Linked DNA regions of Macaca fascicularis. The protein of the gene in region 3 interacts with the protein of the main gene of each other region in a pairwise test. Links are inferred from orthologs where the notes say so. Each region holds a gene or a part of one and is shown on either strand. Other genes may lie near its edges.

Region 1 (6,514 bases), on a different chromosome or scaffold from region 3:
TTTCAGACAGGGTCTCGCTCTGTTGCCCAGGCTGTACTGCAGTGGTGTGATCACAGCTCGAACTCCTGGGCTCAGGCAGTCTTCTCATCTCATCCTCCTGTGTAGCTGGGACCACAGGTGTGTGCCACCATATCTGGCTAATTTTTTATTTTTATTTTGTAGAGATGGAGGGTCTTGCTATGTTGCCCAGGCTGGTCTTGAACGCCTGGCCCCAAGAAATTCTTCTGCCTTGGCCTCCTTAAGTGCTGGGATTACAGGTGTAAGCCACCACACCCGGCCCTCAACCTTTATGTATACAGTTGTTGCTCAGTATGTGCAGGATGCTGTTTCTAGGATGCCTTGAGGATACCAAAATCTAAGATGCTCAAGTCCCTGATATAAAATGCATATAGCAGCTTTCCAGCTTGGACCCGGCAGAATGGCTCCCGCAAAGAAGGGTGGCGAGAAGAAAAAGGGCCGTTCTGCCATCGACGAGGTGGTGACCCGAGAATACACCATCAACATTCACAAGCGCATCCATGGAGGGGGCTTCCAGAAGTGTGCCCCTCGGGCACTCAAAGAGATTCGGAAATTTGCCATGAAGGAGATGGGAACTCCAGATGTGCGCATTGATACCAGGCTCAACAAAGCTGTCTGGGCCAAAGGAATAAGGAATGTCCCATACCGAATCCGTGTGCGGCTGTCCAGAAAACATAATGAGGATGAAGATTCACCAAATAAACTCTATACTTTGGTTGCCTATGTACCTGTTACCACTTTCAAAAATCTACAGACAGTCAATGTGGATGAGAACTAATTGCTGATCATCAAATACATCAAATAAAGTTATAAAATTGAAAAAATAAAATAAAATAAAATAAAATGCATATAGCCTATGTACATTGTCTTGTATACTTTTTTTTTTTTTTTCTGAGACGAAGTTTCGCTCTTGTTGCCCAGGCTGGAGTGCAATGGTGTGATCTTGGCTCACGGCAACCTCAAGTGATTCTCCTGCCTCTGCCTCCCGAGTAGCTGGGATTACAGGCATGCACCACCACACCCGGATAATATTTTGTATTTTTAGTAGAGACGGGGTTTCACCATGTTGGCCAGACTGGTCTTGAACTCCTGACCTCAGGTGATCTGCCCGCCTCAGCCTCCCAAAGTGTTGGAATTACAGGCGTGAGCCACTGCTCCTGGTCCTGTCTCATATAGTTTAGATCATCTCTAGATTAATTACAATGCCTAGTACAATGCAAATGATATGTAAATAGTCATTATACTGTATTATTTGTATTGTTATACTGTTATTTTTCTCTAAATATTTTTGATTCATAGTTGGCTGAATCCACGGATGTTTGCATCCAGCTGTTGGATACGGAGGGCTGACTTTAATCTTTCCCTGTCCTTAAGTATCCTGTGAAGTTATAAATGTGTGCCATGTCTTACACCAGCAACTGTGCCCCCTAGACCTGGGCACATGTGGCGACTGTCCATGCCTCATGTTGTTTAGGTGAGCTTGCTGTTTCTGTCCCTACTGCTGTTGGCCCAACACGGAAATATGAACTAGGTATATAATTTTCAAAAATCCAGACATTAACTTATTCGCCCCTGTAGGAGTCTTTTTTCCAGAGCTGGTAACAAGACAGCTTCCTTTGCAGCTTCTTTCACCTGGCGTCTGTTTCACAGAGGAGGGAGGTAAGTTTTATTTTCAATGGCACTAAAGATTGTTTTCCTGGGTTGTTTTCACAAACTGCACATGAACAGTGTTTCAAAAGTATTTCCTGAATTAGGTGATGTCTGCAGGGAGCCATGAATCATGCTGAAAACAGGATTGTTCAAAACTTTGCCAGGAAGTCTCTGGCAGAATTGTGTTAGCGACTGTTAGCAAACACAGCTGCTTCCTTTCTGTTCCAATCAATCAGCCCAGCCTAATTACCAAAGTACATTACCAAAGGGTGGTAAGTCCTAGATATGCTTGCTGATAACTGCCAGGTTTTAGTATATGGAGGTTAAAGTGCCTCTTCCTAACTACAATAGCAGATGAAACCGTTCCTAATAAACGTTGTTGTAGAGTTTCCTGAAACTGGACACAGAAACTAGTCTTAGGGTCCACCAGGGACAGTTCCCATGATTGCTGGCATACAACACTGTGGTAGTGACCGGAAGTAGTATCATAAATCAGTAACAAATCCAACTCTTTGATACTATCATCTTACTGCTACAGATTACTTGGGAAATATGCCAAAGAAAGAGAAAAAGCAACTGATAACGATCATATTCCAAACAATAGCAATCACCAACCTGAATTTCCACATTACCCTAGTGTTTTTGTGTCAAAGTGGTACGAATCTAAAACTCACACAGATACTTACCATCACCTTCTATAACACGATTGCAGTGGAAGCAAACATCACCAAATAGCTGAAAATACAAAAAGGTGGTCAAAGTTCAAGATGTGTTAAATATTTTAGAACACTGAACATTTAAAAATAGCTGGTTATCTAAATTGAGAATTTATCACTACTAGAGAAAATTAGTAAAAGTTCTTTGACAAGTTTTTACTTCTTACAATGAAAGTAATTCACTGTCATCAATTAAAAAGAAAAACTTTCCAGATGACAGTTTGAACACCCAAATAAGTAATGCAAAATACAGAAATCTGTGAGTCCATATGGATAAGAAACAGATAAATGAATAAACCTATAGATAGGAGAGGAGGTGGGCTGTTCCTCAGGCAGAGCCCTGAGGTGGAGACTATGGGTGGAGGATGTGGGGCTGGAGAACTGTCGTTTGCAGCTGGCACAGAGACAAGAATCATCAAGGGGTGCTAAATCTAGGGCAGGTTGATGAGGAACAGGACATTTCCATGGTCATAAAATGAATGCCCACAGATTGCTTCTTTCTTACAAAAGAGGGAAGGAAATTGTAATTCATAGTGATGTTATCGGCCAGCACCATGCCTGGGAGATCACCAGTGGCAGGAGAGGTATAAAGTGCTCCAGAGACAAGGTTCTGAGAGGATGCCTGCCACTGTTATGGGGCTGCAACCTGCTGTGTATAACCTCATCTAAGCACAGAGAAGCAGCAGGTGAACCCAAGTGGAAAGTAGTCTATTAAAAGGGGGTAGGGGCCCTCTGTACCCCTCCAAAATGTCAATGTCATCAAAAATTTGAAAAGGCTCTGGAAATATTCCAGATTTAAGAAGGCTAAAGAAACATCACAACCCCAGGCTGGGTCCAGTCTGGGAGTGGAAAAAGTGCTGTGAGGATGTTACTGACTCAAGCGACAAAATTGGAATAAATGGGTTAAAGTATGGTATCAATATTGATAACTACGATTATGTTAGAGAGTCCCATATTCTTGGGAAATATACACTGAAGTATTTAGGGGTAAAGGAGTATGATGAACTTACTGGCAAATGCTTTAGAAACGGCCATCATACTTGTATATAATATTTACGTAAGTACGTGTTTTACACAGGAAGACCGAGCGCGGGAAACGATAAAGCGAACTGTGGACTTGAATGAAAGGCATACAGGTATTCTTTGTATTTTCCATTTTATAGTTAGCTTCTGAGTCTGAAATTATTTCCCAAATACAAAGTTAAAAACAAATTTCTACTGAACAATGTACATCTTCCAAGAGATTTACTTGTAGTTAAACTACTGATAAGCTTAGGTTCATAAAAGTCTATCTGGCACCCAGTGACTAAGGTCAATACCTGGTTATAGTGGGTTTCACAATACGCCAGGCCTTTCCTCTCGTAATGGCGATGTCCAAGAAAGGGTTTCTCACACTTGGCGCACACAAAATGCTGAAAAGAAAAACTGCTATAGGTCATTTTTGAATTGCCATATTTTATATCTAATAAAGGAAACCCCGAAGTTAACCTATTTTCAGAGAAGACGAATGAAAGTTTGAGACAGTCATTTCATTTGGCCATAAGTGGCCTCATAATATAATACTTTCGCAGTTTTAATTCAGGTGTCTGTCTTTAAAGGTTACTTTAAGACATAGCCTATTACAATAGCCCAAAAAGAGAACAGAGGTGAGCATCTCAGTAGCACCTATAAAGGACGAGCTGCTGCTGGATATAGACCGTGGCACTTCCTGCTTCAAGAAGGCTTTAGGAGCAAAAGTGCACATCCTGTATCATTACTGAGACATTCACAAAAGCAGTGTACATTCTATATTCTTAACTGTCAGCAAAGTCAATTGTCTTTAAAATGTCCATGTTTAATCTTTAGACTCTCCTAATCTTGCCAGGACACCTGAATCACAGAGATTTGAAAGTACTAGTTACCCCTGAATCATGAAGATTTGAAAGTATTGGTTACACCTTAATCATGGAGATTTGAAAGAACTGGTTGCCCTTTGCCATTCAGAACTCACCTCCACATGCCACTGCTTGCCCATGGCGTTCACCACGCGCCCTTCAATGGGCCGTCGGCAAGCGCCACAGATGGGGACCCCCATTTTATCATGGCATGGCAGGCAGTACAGCTCCCCTTTCAGCTCCCGTGCATCGGCAGTCAGTTCCTTCCTGTCCATGAGAAAGACAGCCAGCTTAATACTAATACTAAGAGAGAAAAACGGCCAACCGATGGGGCTAGCACACTTTTCAGGTTTTTAAAGACATTACTATGACGATTCCTGCAAACTTCTTTTTCCCCCTTTAGAGGTGATCAGAGTAACCTGAATTAATAGGCCCGAACAGGTTTCAGACTCCTACCAAAAAATCTGTATCTTAAAAGGATAAGATGCAAGACTAGGTCAGATACACACCAACACACCAGGCATATTCATCATTTCCTTCTTATATTATCACATTACATTTTAGTCCATTTGCCTTCCTTTAAAAGTTACAGGGAATAATCACAGTGCTGAGGGTAGACTCAGTAATACTACCTGCTATGGTGTGACTGTGCCCTCCAAAGTTCATGATTCCCAGTGCAGGTGTTGGGAAGTAAGACCTCTAAGGGTTGATTACATCATGAAGGCTCTGACCTCACGGATGGATTAATGCTGTTATTGAGGGGGTGGGTTCCTTATAAAAGGACGAGTTCAGCCTCCTTCCTTCTCTTCCTTCCCCCCTCTTCTCTCCCCCACCATGTGATGCCCTCTGCTATGTTTTGATGCAGAAGGTCCTCACCAGATGCCAGCCCCTTGATCTTGGACTTTCCAGCCTCCAGAACCATGAGCCAAATACATTTCTGCTGGTTACAAATTACCCAGTTTGTGGTATTCTGTTATAAGCGCATACAATAGACTAAGACATGACCTTTCCAAGCAAACTGAGAAGTTGGGAGACTAGTTCCATTTACTAACATATTTAAATTGTCACAAGCTGTTGAAAAGAGTTATAGGTTAACAGGTTTATTTTCATAAACAATAAAATTCCCAGAATTTCCTTCTCCAAATACTCAAATTAAATATTATTTTCAGTCTCCTGCATCAATAAACATTTGGTCAGAGATGGTCCCAATTAGTCAAATGGATTTGTTCGGATTTCACCCCTTTTATGTAATTCTCTAGGAGAGATGCTAATGAAAAGTGGACAGAGGAGAATCCCCCAAGAGGAAGGATAGGTAAGAAAATGAAGTAAGGCACAAACTGATAATTCATTCATAAAAGATGAGATGGCTGAACTTATACGACCAAACTGTTTTCTTTTTTTTCACTTTTTTTTAATGAGACGGAGTCTTGCTCTGTCATGCAGGCTGAGTGCAGTGGTGCGATCTTGGCTCACGGCAAGCTCCGCCTCCCGGGTTCACACCATTCTCCTGCCCCAGCCTCCCGAGTAGCTGGGACTACAGGTGCCTGCCACCATGCCCGGCTAATTTTTGTATTTTTAGTAGAGATAGGGTTTCACTGTGCTAGCCAGGATGGTCTTGATCTCCTGACCTCGTGATCTACCTGCCTCGGCCTCCCAAAGTGCTGGGATTACAGGTGTGAGCCACCACGCCTGGCCAGTTATTGCTAATTTTCTCAGGCACAATAAGAGTATTGTGGTTCTGACCAGGTGCAGTGGCTCATGCCTATAATCCCAGCACTTTGGGAGGCTGAGATGGGTGCACTGCTTGAGCCCAGGAGTTTGAGACCAGTCTGGGCAACACAGCAAGACTCCATCTCTACAAAAAATTAAAAAAGGGTGGCGTGTGCCTGTGGTCCCAGCTATTCTGGAGGCTGAGGGGGGAGGATTGCTTGAGCCCAGGAGGATGTGGCTGCAGTGAGCTATGACTGCCCACTGCACTTCAGCCTGGGCAATAGAGCGAGACCCTGTCTCAAGAGAAAAATAAAAAAAATTAAAAATAGTATCGTGGTTCCATAGGAAAATGCCCTTATTCTCAGGAGATATATACTGAGAGTCATGAGAAATTTTAGAGGTATGTGTATACATGCACACGCACACACATACACAGGAGGGTGAAACGAGAATGTACTGTATACACACAAGCCTGGCAAAATGTTAACTGGTGAAACAAAATTAAGGGTATACAGGTTTCATTATATCATTCTCTTAACTCTTCTA
Region 2 (6,614 bases), on a different chromosome or scaffold from region 3:
GCTTGAATGGATATTCAGCCACTAATTTTATACCTAATCAAAACACATACATGAATACATAAAATTTATTTTTATAACCAAATGAGACTATTGTGGATCCCCTACCAGATACATTCAAAAATAATAATTTTTAAGGCATTGTTTCTAAAAGATCATCTTCACAATCGTTTTTTATTCAAGAAGTGATACAACTTTCCTCTTCCTATAAAAGCGAGGAAGGATGGAAGCTGTCCTTTGGCTTCACTGTATTCATTACTGGTCTAAATGAAAATGAGAAAAACTGGAAATTCTTCATTTTTCACATTTACACATAGACTATCTTACAAACCCACTTATATGTATCAATAGCATAGATGTTCTATTGTCAAAAAAAACAGCCAAGATTTATGTATTACATATGTCTCTGGGAGATGGTTTCATAATATTCTTGATTTATGATGTAAAAGCAAATTTAGATGCATAACTACTGCATTTCTCTACTCTATCAAGATCTCTTACAAAGTATAAAGTTAAGTCAGTCATAGCATTATCCTGTGCTTCAATAAAGGGTTTAAAAGATAATCTATAATGTTCTATTTTGGCTCTAGAAAATTCACAACTACTTGGATGGCAGAGAGAAAACAACAACAACAAAAAAAGAAAGTCTACAGCTGCATCTTTCCTAAAAAGAAGAAAAGAATTAGTCTTGTGAGAATTTTACCGTACTTAGATGATAAAACGGAGCGGGAAGTTCTTTTAAACAATTTATGCAAAGAGTAGACTCTGCCTAGTTTATCTTTGGTCCTAAAAAATATTTGTTGAAAAATTCCATAATACTAAAAAATAGTTATCCTCAAAATTAACATCTCGTGGCCATATCTTATAGGGTCAAATAGATCTGGTTTCAAATTCTGGCTCTGCCATACAGTAGCTGTAACACAGTGGGAAAATTACTAAACAGTCTCAGAGGCTGCATTTTTTTGGCTGAGGACTGTAAGAATGAGTTATAGGTTAAAAATGCACAGAAAATACAATGAATCAAATTAAATTTCCATAACCAGTATTCTGTATTAAATATCATAAGAGCTTTATTTCCCCTTACACTCCCATGAGAATGACATCCCACATTATCTCACAGCGTAGCTCACTATAAGCCCCACAAAGGCAGGTATTTTTAGGCTTTGTTTGATGCTCTATATCCAGCACTGAGAACAGTGTGTAGCACTGAGAACAGGTGCTCAAGAAATATTTGATGAATATTTTACTGAGTAAATCATTTACTGAATAAACTGGGCTAAGAAGCTGAAACTAAAGTCTCAGTAATCAAAAGAATTGAGTAATCAAACATGTGTTTTCAAAAATAATTTACTAACCAGCTCTTACGTGGTATTTGCTCATGTATCACTGGACTTCATACAACTTAACCACTATGAGTTGACATACCTCAACTAAATGGTGATAACGCTTGTTCTATCTAATTTACAGGATCATCCTGAGGGTAAAATAAAAGCTAGTTTAGAAGCCTTTAAGGCCCTTTACCAAAGAAAAAAAAAAAGCAAAAAAAAGAAAAAAAAAAAAAAAGTCAACCAGTCCTTCTCTTTGCCAGACTACAGAAAGGCACTGAGAGACGGACAGGAACATAGTTTACTCAGCCAGATCATGTAAATATACAAAGAGCTTAGGAAACTTGAAAGCACCGTCCATATGGGTGCTTTATGTGCCAGAAACTACATTGTTGCCTTATTTAATCTTCAGAACAGCTCTGTGAGGTAAACACACATATCTCCAGTTTAAAGATCACAAAACTCAACTTTCCAGCGGTTAAGTAAATTGTTCAGTCACCCAGGTCTGTCGGGTTCTAAAGCCACCATACACTATCTTTCTTCTGCAGATATAACAATTCAAAGAGGGAAATCGTAATTGAATCAAAATTCTATTAATGCAAATACAAATTTAAAATAACCTCACTCATCAGTACACATAGCCAAAAACATCATATTTAAATAATACCTTGGTTAGGCTTTGCATCCTGGGCCTATTTGCCCCCCTCTTTATCCAAAGTAATTATAAAACTACTTGAGAAATTAAATGGCCTCAGGTTTAAATGCCACACACACACAGTAGAAGAGCTGATAAACAATCCGTACTTCCGTGTCACTTCCCATTGGCCCATGAAAGGGAGGTGCCTACAGAACTAACAGTCACTGGCTAGAATGGCCATTTTTCTCATCCACAAGCCCAGTCCGAAGGCTGCGACCTAACACGCCCGGATCCCGACAACAGGAGTCCTGTGCAATGCCCGGGGTGACCAAAAAGCCCTCGAGGTAGCCACAATCCTGAGCCTAGTGACAAATGGGAGCATGTATCTATATCCGGGTCGGCGGAGGGCTCATTTCATGTGGCCTGGGGGAAAATGAGTCTTAATTTGTTTACACAGACGTAAACACAGACCAAAACGCATCAGCTCGTTGACTCTAACGCCAGCAACGTCTGGGCAAAGGCAATTTGGTTAACAGGGGGAAGCGAACAGACGGAGACGCCTGGAGACCCAGGTGCCACAGCCCGGTTAATCGCGGTGCAAATAAGGGCAAGTCCCCTCCCCTTCTCCGTGCGGTCTTGATAACGACACTAGTTCATTCTACTAACAAGGCGGGCGGGGGGTCAGATGGGCCACACACACCCATCTTCCTCATCGGGACCCCAGCGCGATCTCAGCTTCCCTATGTTACTTTAGGGCAAAACGCGTTCCCCATTCGGAAGCCGCGGGGAAGCGCGGCGAGAGCAGGTTCGCCCTCGGAGCGGCTAAGTGCCTCGGAATAGCGCAGAGGGGGTCCCCACGCCTCTCCCGGCTGGGATCCCGCAACCCGCCCGAGGGTCTCTCGTGGCGCGCGACGCGGCTCGGAAGGCACCGGTTCACGCCGACTAGGCCGGAAGCGCCCCTCCGCCCGCGAGCGCACCTCCAGAGTGTAGCTCTCGCTCATGCTGCGGTAGCTGTCCCAGGCCTCGGCCCGCGCCGCCTCGTCCATGTTGAGGCGGCTGCACAGCTCGTCGAACCGCTGCTGGATGTGAGGGGTGGGCGACTCGTTAGGCGGCGCGGCGTCCTCCGCCTCGCCGTCGTCCTCCTCCTCCTCATCCGAGGCTGCCGCCGCCGGAGGAGGAGGCGGGGGCGGCGGCGACTGGTCACCTCCCGACGGCATAGCGCACCCCTGGGCAGCCGGACCTCAGGTGAGGTGAGGGCCCGGGCCCGCAGCCATTCAAACCGCGAAGCGCCCGCCCGTCCGCCGCCCGCTCCGCGCCTGCGCCTGCGCCGCTGCCAACGACGCTGACCTCCTGCAGGCACCCGTAGTCTTGAGCACGGCCTGCTGGGAAATGTAGTCCAGGCCGACGGTTCAAGGGGGCCAAAAATCATGTTTAAAAAAATTAGCTCGCCTAGTTTCACCAGGGGTGAAATAAAAGCACCTTCCCCGCATTTTAAGCACATACCTCCCCATCGTGAGAACATTCAACAGGGTTGTACTGACGAGAAAATGTCCAAAAGACACTGACGTGTGAAGGTTTCGCATCCAGGCTGTTCCCAGAAGTAAAACTTCCTCATTGCCTGGATATCCTTATCTAAAAAACCAGGATAATAGCAAGGGCCTGTCTGTGTACCTTCACGAAACTGCCTTTGCAAAAATCCTAACAGTGAGAAAGTTACCACTGGGAAAGGGATCTGACCTAAATGACTCCATGCTTCTCACCTCCGAGCTGCACTTGTTCATTCCCAGGCGAAGACCCAACTAACTACAGGAGGAATTTAATTTGTAGTTTCACTTTGAAGCAAAGATTTTTACAAAGCTTTCCCAAAACAAACCCCCTTCTTGCCTGAGGATCAGTCTGCCTTTGTAGAACTAACAAATTAGCCACAAGATTAGAAATTATGATTTAGGAGTCTTGCAGCCAGAGGCTACAAGATTCCTAACCTCCCCAGTTGCTCTCAGGGATAACATCACTATTGTAAAACCTAAGATTGGTGCTGGAGATACTTTTCAGACCCCGCATTCCGATGCATGAGCTGGCGCCACTCAGACCATAATCTGGCTCAACCAGTTCTACAGTCCCACTCAGAAACAGAAGACAGCAAGAGCCCACTTCAACCCCCTAAGATTTCACCTCCCACCTGACAAATTAGCATTCGCCACTCCCTGGCCCCCTACCCGCCAAGTCATTCTTTAAAAACCCCAGTCTCCGAATTTTCTGGTAGCTGACTCTGAAGGGCAGACAGTCCTTTTTTTTTTTTTTTTTTTTTTTTTTTAATTTGAGACAGAGTCTGGCTCTGTCGCCCAGGCTGGAGTGCAGTGGCACGATCTTGGCTCACGGCAACCTCCGCCTCCCGGGTTCAAGCGATTCTTCTGCCTCAGCCTCCTGAATATCTGGGATTACAGGTGCGTGCTACCGCGCCCGGCTAATTTTTATATTTTCAGTAGAGGCAGGGTTTCACTATGTTGACCAGGCTGGTCTCGAACTCCTGACCTCAAGTGATCCGCCCGCCTCGGCCTCCCAGAGTGCTGGGATTACAGGCTTGAGCCACCATGCCCGACCAATTCATTTTTTTTCGAATTCTCCTTTCTTTAATTTTTAAAATTGCCAATCCTTGATTTATAAATGAGCTTGATATAAAACATTTTCCAGATTGAGGAGCTGTAAGAAGGCATTACTGTTTTGCTATTTTTGTTTTGCTTCCTGGGGCATGTAAACTGACACAGGGAAAATTGCTGGGACAAAAGCAGGGGCTTATGGAAGGTATAATGACAGGCGGGAGGACAGGAAATGGAACCCTGAAGATAGGAGAAAATCAGGTAGAGACAGGTAACAGGATATTTCGGGAACAATTTTGAGGCAATGAAACCCTCTTAAGAAAACCTTAGTAAAATTCACAGTAATCAGCAATGCTTTTGGAGTTGGCTGAGTGATGAGTCTCAAGGTGACTATGGGGCAAGAACAGAAGTTGAACACAAATGGTTTAGAAGTATCTGAAAATAAGTACATACGCTGGGCGTTGGAGTTCACAATGCCCAGCACTTTGGGAGGCCAAGGTGGCTGGACTGCTTGAGTACAGGAGTTCAAAATCAGTCTGGGCGACATGGTGAAACCCTGTCTCTATGAAAAATAGAAAAATTAACCCAGTGTGGTGGTACACACCTGTAGTCCTAGCTACTTGGGAAACTGAGGTGGGAGGATTGCCTAAGCCTGGGGAGGCTGCAGTGAACTGTGACCATGCCACTACAGCCTGGGCAACAGAGTGAGACCCTGTCTCAATAAATAAATAAATATTAAATAATTTGGCAAGGCGCGGTGGCTCGTGCCTGTAATCCCTACACTTGGGGAGGCCAAGTTGGGCAGATCATTTAAGGTTAGGAGTTTAAGACCAGACTGGCAAACATAGCGAAACCCCATTTCTACTAAAAATACAAAAAATTAGCTAGGAGTGGTGGCTGGCACCAGTAATCCCAGTTACTCAGGAGGCTGAGGCAGAATTGCTGGAACCCAGTAGCCTAAGGCTGCAGGTAGCTGGGATCATGCCACCGCACTCCAGCCTGGGCGACAGAACAACTCCATTTCAAGAAATAAATAAATAAATAAATAAATAAATAAATAATAAGTTTATTAAAATCTTAGTATTTTACCTGTATATACACTGGGGATATTAATTTTAAAATAATGATATTGCTTCCTTTGGAAATCATTATCAACACTTTACTATGTCAAAGCAAATAAGAAGGCCATGAGCCTGATATTATCTGTCTCTGTAGCTGGAGCTTGTATGTAAGCAAACCAGAATTCAATGTAAACAGTAAGACAACAGTAAAACAAAACTTAAGCTTAACCAATCAGAAACTGCCAACTAACCTCTAATTAGGGATTTTCCTTTTTTTTTTTTTTTTTTTTGGTGACAGAGTCTTGCCTTGTCACGCAGGCTGGAGTGCAATGATGCAATCTCAGCTCACTGCAACCTCTGCCTCCCAGGTTCAAGCGGTTCTCCTGCCACAGCCTCCAGAGTGGCTGGGATTACAGAAGCCCACCACCAAAACCGACTAATTTTTGTATTCTTAGTAGAGAGGGGGTTTCACCACATTGGCCAGGCTGGTCTTGAACTCCTGACCTCAAATGATCCACCCACCTCGGCCTTCCAAAGTGCTGGGATTCCAGGCATGAGTCACTGAGCCCAGCTCACACACCCAAATAAGGCAAACACCCAGCTGTAGCCAATCAAGTAATTGCTTTAGTTTTCTATTAAAGCTTACGGCTCACCTGCAGGGTGAAGCACTCTGAATCTCTTAAGTGCTGCCCAATTCATGAATTGTTCTTTGCTTAAATAAACTGTTAACTTGTCCAAAGTTTTTGTTTTAGCAACTAAGAGAAAAACTTAAATTGTTTTAACAATTAAAGTTTAACTTCAAATTGTTTAACTTAAATAAATGATGTGAAATTATCTTTACTATTTTTAGTAAAAATGTAATTTAAATAATTATTGCAATGTAAGTAAAATTGGTGGCAATAAACCATCAAATAAGTATTTTATTAGAATATCCTTTGCTTGTTAATACCAATGTTTTCAAAGCCTTTTAGAATGGTGGTGGGATGGAGGTGTGAGT
Region 3 (6,514 bases):
GAATATCAAACTGTATGTACGGTATCTTTCATGAAAACCTACTTTGTAAGTGAGGTTGTCAGCACTGCCATGTTTCAGGTTAAGATAACACATATTCATAAATCACCTATGTTCTAGTATTTTATAAAGGTTTAACTCAAATATTTATGGAGCACTTATTATGTTCCAGGTATTGTGCTAAGCACTAGATGAAAAGAAAAGTTCTTGTTCTCAAGGAGCTTATACAGTTGCAAGGTAAAAAGAGAATTGCAACAGAATGTGATAAACATATTACAATAAAGGTACATAAAAGGGGTGATTCAAACATAGAATAAGGACTTCTAAATCTCTTGGGAAATCAAGGAAAGTTATAAGTGATGCTTAAGCTGACTCGAGAGAAGGAAGAATATGTCAAGTTAACTGGACTGGGACAGAAAGAATTCTAGGTATAATTAAGGGTCTAGATAAGTGAAATAAAATTGCTTGTTTGGGGTTTGCTATGCGTGGTTTGACTGCCAGAAGTCAAACTGCAGAAGATGGGAGTAGGACATGAACCCAGTTAGGTTGGTTAGGGGTCAGATTATGCTAAGGAGTTTCAAATTTATCCCGTAGACAATGAAGAGATGTCTAAGAGTTTTAAATAAAACAAATGCAATGTGTGGGCTGAAAAGGTATTTGTGGCTGTGACACTCACTAGGCAAGAAGCAATCACTAATAGGCAAGAGGACTAATTAGATTACTAGAACATGTTGTCTTGATGAGAGATGTTAGTAGCCTAAACTAGTATAATAGGGGCACAGAAGAATATGTAAAACAGATATGTAGGAGGTAGAATCAGTAAAACTTAGAGGCTGTTGAGAAAAAACAGATGAAGCAGAAATCTAGGATGACTCAAAGAGGCATGTATAGTGTCATTCACTGAGATTGCAAATGCAAGGATAAAGAGTTAGTTTGACAGGTTAAGTGTCAACTGTAGACATGCTGAAATTGAAGGATATCCCTGTAGAGATATCCAAAAGCAGGTAGATACACGGGTTGGGAATCCAGGAAAAAAGTTGGACAGAGATACCGGTTTGGGATTTATTAGCATATGAATGAGAGAAGACTACTGACTCTAGGTGACGTTCCTCCAGGAAGAGATAGAAAGTGAGGCCAGGTACAGCGGTTCACGCCTGTAATCCCAACACTTTGGCAGGCCGAAGCAGGTGGATCACTTGAGCTTAGGAGAGCGAGACCAGCCTTGGCAACATGGTGAAACCCTGTTCTACAAAAATACAAATATTAGCCAGACATGGTGGTGTGTGCCTGTAGTCTCAGCTACTTGGGGGGCTGAGGTGGGAGGATTACTTGAGCCTGGGAGGTTGAGGCTGCAGTGAGCTGTGTTTGTGCCACTGCACTCCAGCCTGGGTGACAGAGAGAGACCTGGTCTCAAAAAAAAAAAAAAAAAAAAAAAAAAAAAGAGAGAAAGAGAGAGACAGAAATAGAACAGGCACAGTACCACATATTTTGGAGAACAGCAACACTGATGACATTTACAGTCAGAAGCAGTTCAAGTGTAAGCAGTAACAAAGGGTTTGTGAACGCATTCTCCTCTCTTCAACCCCTGTAAGTCTCCCTCCCTTCCCCTATACCCTGCTCCTCTAGCACTTTTCTCTCCCCTCCTTTCCTCCTTCCCTCCCCCTTCCCTCTCTCTTCCTCTCTTGCGGGTGGGGGTGGGAGTAGAATCCATATTACAGTGAGTTGGAGTGAATGCGAATTAGGAAAGTAGAGATACTGAATATAGACTTTAATACTTTTTCACCTCTGAAGAGAAGCTGTAGCTAAAGGTGGAGATTATTAAAAGTGGGGTTATTTTTTAAAGATGGAAGATAACATATATGTGTATATACTTAAAAATGACAGCAGAGAAGCTGCAGATACTGTATAAGGAAGACAGGACAAATAATGGAGCAAAGACCTGGCAGCAACAGAAGAGAATTGGTTCTAGAGAGCTGAGAAGCAAGGATCTGCTGCACTCAGTGTTATATCCCTAGCACCTCAGTGTTATATCCCGAGGACCCGGAGCCTCCATGCACATGCACACATACTCATGGACAGACAAACAGACACACATGTTAATATAAAATGATTTGTAGCTTTCAGAATGTAACTTTTATACTATTATAAAATGAATAAGAGATTAACCTTGACCAACCCTTACAACTGGGCTCTGGATCTCATCTCCTCTGACCTTTTTAAGGATGTAGCAATTGTTCCCTCTTTCTCCAGAATTATTAATTTTCTCCTCTTTACTTGATCATCCTATCAACATAAATATGTGCTAATCATGCTATAATATTCCATCTTGAAAAAATCATCCCTTGACTCATGTTCTTCTTTAGCCACTGTCCTGTTCTCTCCTCCTCTTGACTGTCAAGTCTTGGAAGACTTGTTTGTATGTGCTCTTTCCACTTTCTCTGTCCTTAGCTTCCTTTGAACATGAGACAGATCTCAGATGGTCAATATTACACCTTAACAGTTTTTATCATGTCACTAGTTCAACACTCAGTGATCTCCATGCAACCAAATCCCATGGTCAATTCTAAGAAGTCTTCATCTTACTTGACTTATTAGCATTGTTAAACACAGTTGACCACCCCTTCGTCCTCTCTCCACTTGGCTTAAAGGACATCATTTTTAGTTTTCCTATCTCATTGGCAGCTCCTTCTCTGTTTTGTTGGTTCCTACTCATTTTCACAACCTCAACAGCTACAATCTTTTCTCTAAGGGAGTAAAAATGGTTTGGGGCAGGTGGGAGCAAAAAAAACCTTACTATGTATAAAGCACAGACATACATGCATACACGTATCACTTAAACAGATATACAGTATATCTGTAGTACTAAAACTCCAGTAGGGAAGGGATTGGGGGGAGGGGGAAATGTCTAAAAAAGCTGGGGTGGGGGTTCTTCAACAAAAGAAAAGTTGAAAATCATGGCTTTACGTAATGAAGTTCCTCAAGGCTCAGTACTTGGACTTCTCATTCCCTTCTATTATCACTTGCTTGGTAATCTCATTTAGTTTTATGGCTTAGATGCCATCTACATGCTGACAACTTCCATGTGTCTCCATCCTAAACTTCTCTAAATTCTAACTCACATCTACTCACGAATCCAAACTCTACCTGAATGTTGAGTTTGCATTTCAAATGGAATATTCCCAAAACGAAACTTCTAATTTCTACTCACCCCTGCCCCAACCTATACACCTGTGGCTCCCAGTCTCTTCCATCTCAGTAAATGGTAACTCTATTTTTCCTTTTGTCCAAACCAATCTCCCCTTCACTCACTCTGCTCCAGCCACACAGGGTTCCTTAATGTTCCTCAAACAAACCAAATGCCATCTTCACTGCAAGGCCTCTGGGCTTGCAAATCTCTCTGCCTGGGTGCCCGTCTCCCAGATAGCCACGTGACTCACTTCCCTCCCTCAGTCCTTATGCAAACGACACTTTACCAGTGAGGCTTTCTAATATCCCTTCTTACCCTGCTTTACTTTTCTTCAGAGCACTTGCTTCTATCTGACATAAATTTTATTTCTCCCTCAACTAGATCATAAGCTCCATGAGGACAAGGGCTTTGTTTTATTTAGTGCCTGGTATACAACAGATGCTTAAATATTTGTTGAACAAATAAGTAAATTACAGTAAAGCCTTCTTTACTTAAAATTATTAGTAATTTATATTAATATCATTAGGGATATTTATATGAACTAATAGGATAACATTACTTTCCAATATGAAAAAGATAGTAAACTAGTAATATAAACAAAATTATACGGAAAATACCTTTAAAATATTGTCTAAGTTAGACTGTGGGTCACTCTTACCCACCAATAACCACAATTTAAACTTGTAAAGTAATCTCAGTATCTTGCTTACTGGCCATTGGAGGTTGACTTTGGTCATAAGTGTCAGCTACTAGAATTTCATTTTCATTAGGATTATGTTGTGGATGAGTTGAAGACTTGGAAACTTTTCTCAATTCTAAGGGGAGAAAAAAATAAGAGATTACATAATAAACAATGATGAAAAGTATTATCAAATTATTTTTATTTATTCATATTTAAAATTTTAATGTATTATCTGTATTTAAATACAAGTACCATTTTATTGACCTAATTATTGTATTCTAAGAAGTAAGCTCCTTTAATTTCACTAAGAAACAAAGCAGTTTAAGTTAAGACATTGGGAGAGAGGGGACTAGAACAGACAGCTTCTTCTGACCCAAACTGCCCAGAGTAGTAACATTTTAGTGTTACTTTTCTTTTTTTATTTGTTACACATCAGCAGGTTAATTTAAAAAGGTATACTGGGCTGGGCACAGTGGCTCATGACTGTAATCCCAGCGCCTTGGGAGGCTGAGGCAGGAGGATCTCTTGAGCCTAAAAGTTCCAGGCTACATTAAGCTACAGATCACACCACAGTACTCCATCCTGCATGATAGAGTAAGACCCTATCTGAAATAATCAATCAATAAACAAATGATTAAGCATCTAATGTATACTATATCATTTATCTCCATGATCTTTTAGAGTTTTTATTTCCAGGAAGGAAACTCTGAAGCATGTGTTATCAGAAATCACTCCAATATTTAAAGATTTAGTTCAAAGAGAACCAAAATAAGGACAAAGTAAAGTAAAACAGTTTTACTATTTGTAACTTGAGAATAATATTAAAAAGCATTATAAACCTTACAATAAGTAAGCAAGGGAAGTTAGAGAACAGGACTAATTAGTCATTAAAGCATTTTAAATTACATTATTATTATTATTGTTATTATTATTTTGAGATGGAGTCTCGCTCTGTTGCACAGGCTGGAATGCAGTGGCATGATCTCAGCTCACTGCAACCTCCGTCTCCTGGGTTCCAGCGATTCTCCTGCTTCAGCCTCCCGAGTAGCCGGTACTACATGCGTGTGCCACCACGACCAGCTAATTTTTTATATTTTTAGTAGAGACGTGGTTTCACCATGTTAGCCAGGATGGTCTCGATCTCCTGACCTCGTGATCCGCCCACCTTGGCCTCCCAAAGTGCTTGGATTACAGGTGTGAGCCACCGCGCCCGGCCTTAAAAGTTATTTTAAAATCATTTGTATGGCTCAAAGTTATCGTACATCTTAAAACTAAATTTCAGATTCCAAGTAAAAACTGATCAGAACAAGATTAAAGCAAGTGAATTAAATTTCTAAATAGTTATATGCTGCTGTCATACAAAGAAGAAATAAACCAGAAGCATTTATATTGGTTACAAAAGACTTTCCTAATACAGAATTATTTTCTAGATATCCTTATATATGAATTTAAACCTGATCTAAATTATGCAGTGATTTCTTTAATGATTCATGTCCTGTCTGATAGCAAACTAAAAGGTCAACGGATATTCATTTTAGATCTATGATTTTACATCTTAACTTAGCTCCTATTTGAGTGTAGGATTTTTAACAGTTCTTCTGTTCTCCACTAGATGGTGATACAAAGGCTTATAAAATGGGGTAAAACTGCCAGTGTTCCAACATTTAAGAATAAGATCTGCTTCTTTGTTTAAAGGCATATTTACTGTCAACAATTTATTTGTATTATACAAATATAGAAATCCGTATATATCCCCCGCTCCCCATGCTTTCCTTGTTCCAAATAGTTTAGGTTAAAAATTAAAGTCTTTAATGTTTGCTCTAGATTAATACTAAAAGTAATACTTGTATCACGGCACATAACAAATTTTGGGACTATGTGAAAAGGCAGTTTTAAAGCATTTAGCAGAAATGATAAACTAGGCTAGAATTAGAAACATGCCACTGAAAAGTCACAAAGTGGACACATTATAACACCATCTCTTGATTACCACTAACTCCTACAAATTACAACAAATAAAAATAGCCAGTTACAGACAGCTCCAATGGCAGGAGTACCCATGTGGCAAGATCTGGAGAGTACAAAAGTTCAAAGCTAAGATGATCTGTATTTGAATTTTGACTCATCTACATGATAGCTGACCTTGAGTGAGTTATTCAACCTTTCTAAACATATTTTTCCTCATCTATAAAACAAAAGAGCTGATAGTTATTTCACAAGCCTGTTACAAGAATTAAAACATAGCAATAATATATGCAAATCACTCAGCATAATACGTGGTACGCAGGAGGTAGAAATTAACATTAAGTTCCTTTCCTTTTTCCTTCTATCCCCCTTGGATATATACACATAGGAATATTTTTAAAATAAAAAGAAACTATTTAACTATATTTATAAAATGTGGTACATTTACATGTCATATAGACAACATGTATCTATACATAACACGGGCAGAAAATGCCTCCTCGGTCACTTTATGAATAGAAGTTAAACTCATAGTTGTACCATGGGATACCGGAATAGTGACTATTTTCTTTCCACTAGATCGAATAACATAAAAACTAGTAGATGAACACTGGTTTACAAAACCAGAGAACGAAAATACAACTCCAACTCTTTTTTTTTTTTTTTTTTTTTTGAGACAGAGT

The links.
Region 1: the proteins of RBBP8 (region 3) and LIMS1 interact in a two-hybrid assay, tested with the Homo sapiens proteins (2 studies listed by BioGRID and IntAct). The two-hybrid records come from large-scale screens. The link is inferred for Macaca fascicularis from reciprocal best matches to the Homo sapiens genes RBBP8 and LIMS1.
Region 2: the proteins of RBBP8 (region 3) and RBL2 interact in binary tests that used the Homo sapiens proteins (3 or more experiments, as listed by UniProt). The link is inferred for Macaca fascicularis from reciprocal best matches to the Homo sapiens genes RBBP8 and RBL2.

The regions. Positions count from the first base shown.
Region 1 is NC_088387.1:16,159,448-16,165,961, reverse strand, and holds part of LIMS1 (LIM and senescent cell antigen-like-containing domain protein 1), read right to left. Parts: intron 4,526-6,514; coding exon 4,375-4,525; intron 3,797-4,374; coding exon 3,704-3,796; intron 2,404-3,703; coding exon 2,355-2,403; intron 858-2,354; exon of another isoform or gene 797-857; coding exon of another isoform or gene 419-796; exon of another isoform or gene 395-418; intron 1-394. Other genes in the region: large ribosomal subunit protein eL31-like, read left to right, coding at 419-796. UniProt on the Homo sapiens protein: Within the IPP (ILK-PINCH-PARVIN) complex, binds to F-actin, promoting F-actin bundling, a process required to generate force for actin cytoskeleton reorganization and subsequent dynamic cell adhesion events such as cell spreading and migration.
Region 2 is NC_088394.1:49,420,294-49,426,907, reverse strand, and holds the start of RBL2 (retinoblastoma-like protein 2), read right to left. Parts: upstream 3,272-6,614; 5' UTR 3,177-3,271; coding exon 2,937-3,176; intron 2,118-2,936; exon of another isoform or gene 2,008-2,117; coding exon of another isoform or gene 1,990-2,007; intron 1-1,989. UniProt on the Homo sapiens protein: Key regulator of entry into cell division. Directly involved in heterochromatin formation by maintaining overall chromatin structure and, in particular, that of constitutive heterochromatin by stabilizing histone methylation.
Region 3 is NC_088392.1:66,776,917-66,783,430, forward strand, and holds part of RBBP8 (DNA endonuclease RBBP8), read right to left. Parts: intron 4,000-6,514; coding exon 3,895-3,999; intron 1-3,894. UniProt on the Homo sapiens protein: Endonuclease that cooperates with the MRE11-RAD50-NBN (MRN) complex in DNA-end resection, the first step of double-strand break (DSB) repair through the homologous recombination (HR) pathway.